2 linked regions of the Cricetulus griseus genome follow. The protein of the gene in region 2 interacts with the protein of the main gene of each other region in a pairwise test. Links are inferred from orthologs where the notes say so. Each region holds a gene or a part of one and is shown on either strand. Other genes may lie near its edges. The genes, in order: GRB2-related adapter protein and Trim21.

Region 1 (4,533 bases), on a different chromosome or scaffold from region 2:
TAAGGTTACACACTACAACAAATGTGAGTATGGACTCCTCAAGAGAGAACCCACTTAAATGTCTTAACCAGTAGCACATAAGTGATTTTAGAGGCTTCTGAAGTTATAGTCTTTAAAGGGGTCTCTTCCTTTTCCTTTCCTTCCTAACTTCCTTCCTTCCTTCCTTCCTTCCTTCCTTCCTTCCTTCCTTCCTTCCTTTCTTTTTTGAAGTGGGGCTTCATGTAGACCATGAAGATTCAAGCCAGCCTTGAACCCTGAGGATGACCTTAACCCTCTGCCTCCCGAGTGCTGGGATTACAGGGATGCACTACCTCGCCCAGTTAAGTGGTGCTGGGGCTGAAGTCTAGAACTCCATGCATGCTAGGCAAGCATTGTACCCACTAAACTATACTTCCAGTCCTGTTGAAAGGGTTTTCTTTTCTCTTTATTTTATTATTATTGTTTGTTTTTTTCTGGAAAGGGTTTCTCTGTGTAGCCCTGGATGTCCTGGAACTCTACTTGTAGATCAGGCTGGTCTCAAACTCAGGGATCTGCCTGCCTCTGCCTCCTGAGGATTGGGATTATAGGTGTGTGCTATCATGCCTTGCTAATTATTTATTTTATTTTACTTTAATTGAGATAGATAGCTCAGGCTTGCCTGGAACTCACCCTGTAGACGAGGCTGCCCTCGAACTCAGGAATCCACCTGCTTCTGCCTCCAGAGTGCTGGGATTAAAGACATGTGCTTTAATCTACTGGGCTTCTCTCTCTCTCTCTCTCTCTCTCTCTCTCTCTCTCTCTTTCTCTCTCTCTTCCTTTCTTTTTTTTCTTCCTTCCTTCTCTCTCTTTCTTTTCAGTAAATGAGATCCTAGGTTTTTTTTTTTTTTTCAGAGTTGTGCTGAACAGAAATACAGCCTGATAAAATCAAACCATAGGATATAAGAACTGAGGGAATGCTTCCCATACTAGTTTCAAGGGAGTGAGGATGTATGCTGTGACTATAAACAAGTTCATAATTTCATTTGTAAAAGTCTCAGAAAGCTGCAGGCTTCAAACTGGGAAAGGAGTGAGGCTAACACAAATATCCTAGTTTGACCTAGGCATGATTCATTGCTATGTAAGATACTTATGTGAAATATCTCTGCATAAAAGAATGTTGTTTCTCTGGGAGATCCTCATAGCAAATTCTGTCAATGGTGATGAATTCTTGACTCTTAGAGGACAAGAGTCACAGGCGAAGGCCTCCTTTTCCTTCTATGTTCCCTTTGTTTTTTTTCCTCTGGCTAGAGGCCTGTCTGCTCCCTCCAAGGCTTCCCAGCCTTTGCCTTCTGGTGCTGGGTGTCACTCCTAAGAGGGAGCTCTGACACAGGACAGGAGAGATGACAGGAACAGATGTTCTGGCTGGAAGCTCCAGGTGGTGGGAGAGCTGAGGAATTCGGGAGTGGCTAGAGGCTGGAGGAGGCAGCACTCCACAGATCAGCACCACCCCCACCCTGACTTTCCAGAGAAACAACCTCAGGCTCTAGAGCTGGTAAACCGCTGTGCTGGTGCGAGAAGCATAGGAAGCCAGGGTGCTCTGAGTCAGGAAGGGCTGTGTGAGAGGAGGGCATCATGAGGAAGGAGTCAGAGCAAGGAAACTCAACCCAGCTTCCATCCCAGAAGAAGCTGGGCTGACCTGTGGGGAACAGGCTGCAAGTTCATGAGGTTGGAAGCTCTGAGGTCACTAGACTAGATGACGAGCTGTGCAGAGGTCACCTTGGGGCCTTTATCATCCAGATTGGCAGAAACATGGGATCTCTCTGGAGAGTTCATCCCAAGTACCACAGAAGACAGCAGTGATAAGTCAGAGGGGGTGAGGTAATGACAGACACAAACATTTTTTTACTGTGTGTATGTATGACGTGTGTGATGTGTGGGAGCATGTGTGTGTGTGTGTGTGTGTGTGTGTGTGTGTGTGTGTGTGTATGAGTGTCATAACATGTACATGGAGATCAGAGGACAATTTTTAGGAGTTGGTCTCTCCTTTCTCTGTGGGTTCTGAGGATGGAGCCCAGGATATCCATCAGACCTGAGCAGCAATAACTTATACCTGCTGAGCCATCTCACCAGGCCAGAGATTTTTTTTTAAATGTGTGTGCATGTTTGTATGTATACGTATTTTGTGCATGCAAGTATTCATGAGCATACATGTGGAGGCTAGAGGTCAAACCCTGGTATCTCTCTCAATGTCTCTCACCTTGTTTCTGGAGTAGGGTGTAGAATTACTTGTCTCGCCGAAGCAATAACATACCTGATAAGATCATTGTAGTGAAGAGTTTGTTTTGGATCACAGTTCCAGGAGATACCATCCTGTCTGTCACGATGCTGGGTAAGGTTTGGTGGCAGGAACAGAAGTGGCTGACCACACTGCATCCAAAGTGAGAAAGTAGAGAGTAATGAATGCTCTCTCTCTCTCTCTCTCTTTCTCTCTCTGTTGCATTTGGTCCAACAGTTATGGTGGATCTCCCCATTTCTTGGAGATTAGATCTGGGATCCAAGGTTGCAATCGATGCTACAACACATGTGCAAAGTGAAAGTAAGTTGGCAAAGTAGCATTGACTATTGCTAAAACGTGCACTGCTTCGTTCAGGCAGCAAGCACACTGAACAGGAAATAAATGTGCTAGATTTTTATCCTTGAGGGCACTGTGTCTTTTCCCCACTGGCTGGGGTTTGAACTCACAGTGTTTGAAGGTTGGCTGATTGAAAAAAATTGGTGTTAAGAAAACAAAGAAGCTGGGCGTTGGTGGCACAGGCCTTTAATCCCAGCACTCGGGAGGCAGAGCCAGGCGGATCTCTGTGAGTTTGCGGACAGCCTGGTCTCCAGAGCGAGTGCCAGGATAGGCTCCAAAGCTACACAGAGAAACCCTGTCTCGAAAAACCAAAAAAAAAAAAAAAAAAAAGAAAAGAAAAGAAAAAGAAAGAAAACGAAACTGGGGTAAAGGGTCTCCTGTCTTGGCCCACTGAGTTTTGAGAATGCCACAGACTTCTGTGTAAACAACGTTTTTTCAGGAGTCACATTGTGAAGGTTCCATTCCTATGATCAGTCCTTTGCTAGAAAAGACTTGGATTCCTTCCGACTATTTCCTTCACTACCTCAGTGTACCCAACCTAGAAAATTCCGTGTAGCAGCCCAGGCACCAGCACCAGTTACTCGGCAACCTGTCAAGCTGTTCAATATTAGATAGCAACCACAACCTGAGCTCAACAGTTCATTTAGATTAGCTGGCCAGCAACCCTTAGGGATCCTCCTGTCTCTGCTTCCTGGGCACTGGAATTACAAGTGTGTGCCACTGTGTCCAACTGTTTTATGTGGGCCCTGGGGATAGAACTCGGGTTCTCATGCTTGTGCAGTAAGCCACTTACTGATTGAACCATCTCCTTACCCAGAGAGTTCTTAAGACTAAATTATATCCCAGGTTCTAAGTGAAATGTTGTGTTTACAACAGTAAACAAGCAAACAAGCCAAAGACTAAAACTAGAGTATTCTGAGGTCCACTTCTGGCATGGCACCAATGAGGACCTCTGTAGATCTGTCTCCCTTCGAAACTGGGGAAAACCAATGCAAACAAGTACACTTTTAAAGTCTTAGGGAATTATCGTCATTGTGAACAAAAAATGAAGGATCATCTACAAATGCTCCTTGGCTTATGATAGTGTTCCAACCAGATAAACTCATGGTAAGTTTAAAATACCTTAAGTGAGAAAAGCATTAAATCCACCTAAATTGCCTTAAACGTGCTTCGAACAGTTAGCAGGCAGTTGGGCAGAATCATCTAACTCATACTATCTTGCAGTGAATGTTGACTTTGCAGGATTCTGATGAAACACCACCAACAAAGCACACTGTGTGTGGGTAGTCTCACCTTGACTGTGGGATGGCTGGGAACAGCTCAGAGAGGGCTTTGGGCAGCAATCCAGGAAGAATACAAAGCCCAAACTCAAAGAGTGGTTTCTACTGGGCAAATGTCATTCTCACATACCGTAAAGTTTCAAAAACCATGAAAACCATTCTAAGTCTAGGACTGTCTGCATTCTAGGGGCTGGAGATGTGCTTAACGATAGGGCACTTGCCTAGCATGTGTGAAGTGAGGAGAGGAGGGGGAGGGGAAGAGGAACCAAGAACGGACCTCACACACTCTTCCTTCAGAGGATCAGAGTTAATCTGACTCATCTGTAGAGTGGTTTATGACTCAGAGAATTCTAGAAATGGCAGTTAGTGGGGGCTTAACAGCTGTGTGTAGTCAGGGAAAGAGACAGAGGCAACTCTGACGAAATCACCTTTATCCTGGGCCACTGTGAAATCACCTTTATCCTGGGTCACTGTGGGTATACCCAAAGCTGTGCCTGCTGAGGAACAAGTAATTCACTCACTAAATCATTAAACAAAGTTTATCTAACAAACTAAATCCAAACAAAGAGTTGGAGAAGGTAACAAATACCTAGAATTATTGCTTCTAACAAAATTATGAAGTGCACAAAACAAAGCAACAGGAAAGCATGACCCAAACACAGA
Region 2 (4,337 bases):
TCACAGAGAGTAAAATCTTTTCCCACTTCCAATGATGCACAATTCCTAGGCCCGAGGGGACAACAGTGGCCTCAGTACAGTCTTTGCTATCTTGGGAGGGTCACCGGATGGCACAGATGATCTCGTTTCTTTTGCCACCACAGCTTGATTCAGTCTTTGCTAATCCCATTCCACTTTTGGGGTCTGTGATTGCTCTGAGCCCCTTACACTCCTTGTCAATTTCAGATGTATCCTTTTTTCTCCTGGCAAATTACCAATGCGACAGACTTTAATTCTTTACCAGGCTTTGCACTAATAGCCTGGTCATCATTAAGCAGCCACCGAGTCAGGTGGGCCTCCTACCTCAGACTTACATAGATCCTTTCCGGCTGTTCCCTCCCCTCTTTGTCATGTCTAAAGGGTGCAGGAGTTGGGATTTTCTCACAGGATACCTCAGACCTGTTATCACAAGACCGTCATTCACCGAGACAGGGTCAGAAGGGATGGTGTGACCTTCTTAGACTTTCTGCAGTAATTCTTGAACTTTGTGACAGATTGGGGGAAATCTCATCTGATTTTAAGCTTCCTTCCTTCTTTCTTTCTTAAATTCTTCTCTGTCTAGAGATATAGTGTGGATGGTCCTTGGGGAGTGACCTATATAACAATTCTCCCACCCCTTGGATAGGCACAGTCATAGTTAATGCTTGCTTGAGATCAAGACCTGGGACCCAGCCTATCCCCGGGTTCTTGCCTTCCAGTCTGTTCTTTGCATTGCAAGATCCATTTCCAGCTTCTCGGCGAATTCTTTCCCTTTCCTCAGTTTTTCTAAAGCCACGAGGAGCTTCTCCTGTAGAAAAAGGTGGTAGGTTAGTCCCCAGATAGAGATGTGGAAGAGGGGAATGGGAAGACTTTGGGGGAAACCTAGTATGTCTTACAAAACAGAGCGACACTGATGGGGAATGGGATCTGGTCATTACATTTCTAATTCACCAGGAAGCCAGAGGAAGCATAATCCACGCACATCCCACGGCATAGTCTCGGCTCCTGAGAAATAAGCTTGTATTTGATGCACAAGTTCCTCTCAATGAGAAACTACCCTCCATTCCCCTGTAAGGATGACTCTCAGTCACTATGCTGGGGAGCGGAGCATTCTTCATGGAGCACCTTCTTTATATCTATGGGTGTCTCTGTGCTAGAGCCTCACCTGGTATACCCGAGCAGCTTCTTCAATAGGGACCTTGGTGTGGTCAAGGTGTTTCCCAGACTGGGCACACACCCAGCAAAGGGCCTGCCCATCTTCCTCACAGAACACTAGAAGTTTCTCTCCATGCTTCATGCAGCGGTCTTCCTGGGTGTCCTTATTGGCATCCCCGGCTGTTTGTTTAAGGTCTTCTACCATGTTGGCTATACGTCGAATGGGCCTGAGGTTTCTGAGCAGAAACTGTTGCCGGCACTCGGGACATATACCGCCACCATTTTTCCCGACCTCAGAAATGCATTCCTTGCAGAAGCAATGGCCACATTCGATACTCATAGGCTCCACCATGGAGTCCAGACAGATAGAGCAGATGACATTTTCCCACATCTTTTCCAGAGCCATCTTGGAGGATTTTGAGTGCAGAGGAGGAGGGAAGAGATAAATGAAAGTTTGCATGACAAAAGCAAAAGCAAGACAATACCAAAAGTTCCCAAAACAATGCAAAGGAAAACATGTGAGAAAATGACACAGGAGAAGGAAACAAATGAAGGCAAGAGTATCAACCTGCACAACAGCAGCCTCTCCTCCCTAGTCTGACCCATTGATCTAGTCAGGCAGAAGGGGAAACTGAGTTTCCAGAAGAAACATTGGAAAGTGGCGGGGATAATGCTGTTAATAATTCCAGCTCATCATATCCATCCCTGCTTTAACCCTCAGTGTCCAGACTTCTCTCACACACTTTCTCTCATCTTGCGCCTCCATGGCGCGGAGAGTGACCATTTACCATATGCCATATTTACCAAGCACCCTCCATATTCCAACTGGGTGCTACATTGCTTATGTCCGTCTTCATTAATCTTGACAATAACTGCAGGAGTAAGGAGTCAAAGGTTTACGAAGTTATTCGTTACATGAGATATTTTGGTCAAATATGATGATGAATAATAGGCTATATCATAGGTTCATGGAAGTATACTTCAAGGTGTGTGTTCATTATGGCATCATCTAAGGGTACATTTCCCAGTCATTAGGGTTGCATGTGTATGTATTTATGTATATACATATATATACATAGCTGTTTTTTATCCTAATATGTTCTTATTTATAAAATATACTTGAGCACAAATGCATCAATGTAGGTGTGTCCACATGTTCTCCTATATGAATGTTTATGTACATATGTGAATATGTGTACTTATCCATACACATTTGTGGAGAGCAGTTGCCAGGCTTTTCTCTAAGACTATCCAAACCTAGTACCTGTCTTAACTTCCTTTAGGGCGCTGAGAGTCTTAAATCTACATAAATTTTCAGTAGAGCATTCTAAATGGCTAGTACTCACCTCCAGCAGAGGTCTTCAAGGGACAGGAGTTTCCCTGAGCTCCCCTCTGGGCTAGCTCACAGCCTGCTTTTCCCACCTTTACTAGCCCCCTCGTCTCAGCTCAGGCACCAGTCACTAAACAGCCCCTTCCAGGCAGGGCACCGGGAAAGTCACTTTCAGAGCCCCGCTTCCACAGGCCTGTGTGGGCAGCCAGCCAGGGCTGGAACTAGAGAACACTGCTGAAAAGAAGCAGCAGGTGCGCCGGCAGGTTCGGGTGGGAGTCGCAGGTGGGAAGGGGCGGAGGAGAGAGCACTCCTAGGTGGGTCGGGGATCCCAGCCTCACTCACCTTAGCAGGGTCCTCAGCATGGGCTACGGGTGAGCTCCCAGTGTGGCTTTCACAAGCCTGCTCCCTAAATTTCACTTTCAGTTTCCTCTCAGAGGCTAGTCTAGAAGGAAGCGGGAGGAGCAAGGGGAGGAGCGGAGAGTTGAACGGCTAGGGGAGGACTCAAGCAGAGAAGGCGGAGACTGGGTGGAGCGTGTGAGAGAGAGGTCAAAGGTGCTAGAAGCTGCCGACTGCTAGCCTGCTAGCCGCAGGCACAGGTGGAGGAAACTGCCTTGCTGCCTTCGTTCTCTCTGAGGCCTCCTGGTCTTATTTAACAATGTAATCTACACGATATCGATGTGTTGCCTTTGACAAGGGTCTTCACCTCACACCTGGGAGCATCTGGGAGAAGGGGTCCGGAAGGAGAGGATTCACTATCTGCTTGCTCCATCCAGTAATGGATTCCTTCTCACAAGACTGGTAGTTCTTTAAAATCTGGGGTGATCAGTCCTCCTTCTCTGCAACTGGATTTCAGTTCAGTTCAAGGTTTAGCTGTGGCTGTCTGCTTCTACTTCCACCAGCTGCTGGATGAAGGCTATAGGATGGAATACAAGTTAGTCATCAATCTCATTATCAGGGGAGGGCATTTAAGGTAGCCTCTCCTCTTTTGCTTAGATTGTTAGTTGTTGTCATCTTTGTAGCTCTCCAGACATTTCCCTAGTGCCTGATTTCTCTTTAAACCTATGTCTCCCTCTATTATATTATCTCTTATCTTGCTCTCTTCTGTTCTTCCCTCAACTCAACCTCCCTGCCAAAGGGGTCCATACCAGAATGGTAAAACCCACAGAAACAGTTGACCTGAACAAGGCAGAGCTCCTGGTCCCCAGACTGATAGCTGGGAAACCAGCATGGGATTGATCCAGAGCCCCTGAACGTGGTGTCAGTGAGGAGACCTTGGAAATCTATGGGACCTCTTGCAGTGCATCAGTACTTATTGCTACCATAGGAATGGACTTTAGGAGCCCATCCCACATGGAGGAATACTCCCTGAGCCTAGACACAAGGGGGTTGGCCCAGGCCCTATCCCAAAGAATAAGACAGACTTTGAAGACCCCCTATGAAAGGCCTCACACTCCCTTGGGAGCAGAAAGGGTATGGGATAGGTAGGGTGTTAGTTGTGGGGTGGGGGGGTGAGAGGCAGAGGGGAGGGAAAGGGACCTGGGATTGACATGTAAAATAATTTTCTTTCTAATTAAAATAAAAAGAAAAACAAAACAAAAAATAAAATCTGGGGTGAAAGATCCTGTCATTGTTTTAATTAGCATATATTAATTATACAGTGTACTTTAATTATACTCTTTTCCCATCTCTCTATCTTCCAATTTTGCTCCCCTCTTCTCAGATGGTCTGGGGTGAGAAATTTATTCCTTAGATGTCTAGGTAGGTGCTGTACCAATGAAGGGAGTTGAGATTGTGAGCATCAACTGTATTATACTTGCGCTAAAAAGCATTGGTT

What was found.
Region 1: the proteins of Trim21 (region 2) and GRB2-related adapter protein interact in binary tests that used the Homo sapiens proteins (3 or more experiments, as listed by UniProt). The two-hybrid records come from large-scale screens. The link is inferred for Cricetulus griseus from reciprocal best matches to the Homo sapiens genes TRIM21 and GRAP.

The regions. Positions count from the first base shown.
Region 1 is NC_048600.1:75,656,289-75,660,821, forward strand, and holds the start of GRB2-related adapter protein, read left to right. Parts: upstream 1-1,549; 5' UTR 1,550-1,836; intron 1,837-2,269; exon of another isoform or gene 2,270-2,530; intron 2,531-4,533. UniProt on the Homo sapiens protein: Couples signals from receptor and cytoplasmic tyrosine kinases to the Ras signaling pathway. Plays a role in the inner ear and in hearing.
Region 2 is NC_048596.1:96,820,023-96,824,359, reverse strand, and holds the start of Trim21 (E3 ubiquitin-protein ligase TRIM21), read right to left. Parts: upstream 2,979-4,337; 5' UTR 2,846-2,978; intron 1,580-2,845; coding exon 1,184-1,579; intron 827-1,183; coding exon 731-826; intron 1-730. UniProt on the Homo sapiens protein: E3 ubiquitin-protein ligase whose activity is dependent on E2 enzymes, UBE2D1, UBE2D2, UBE2E1 and UBE2E2.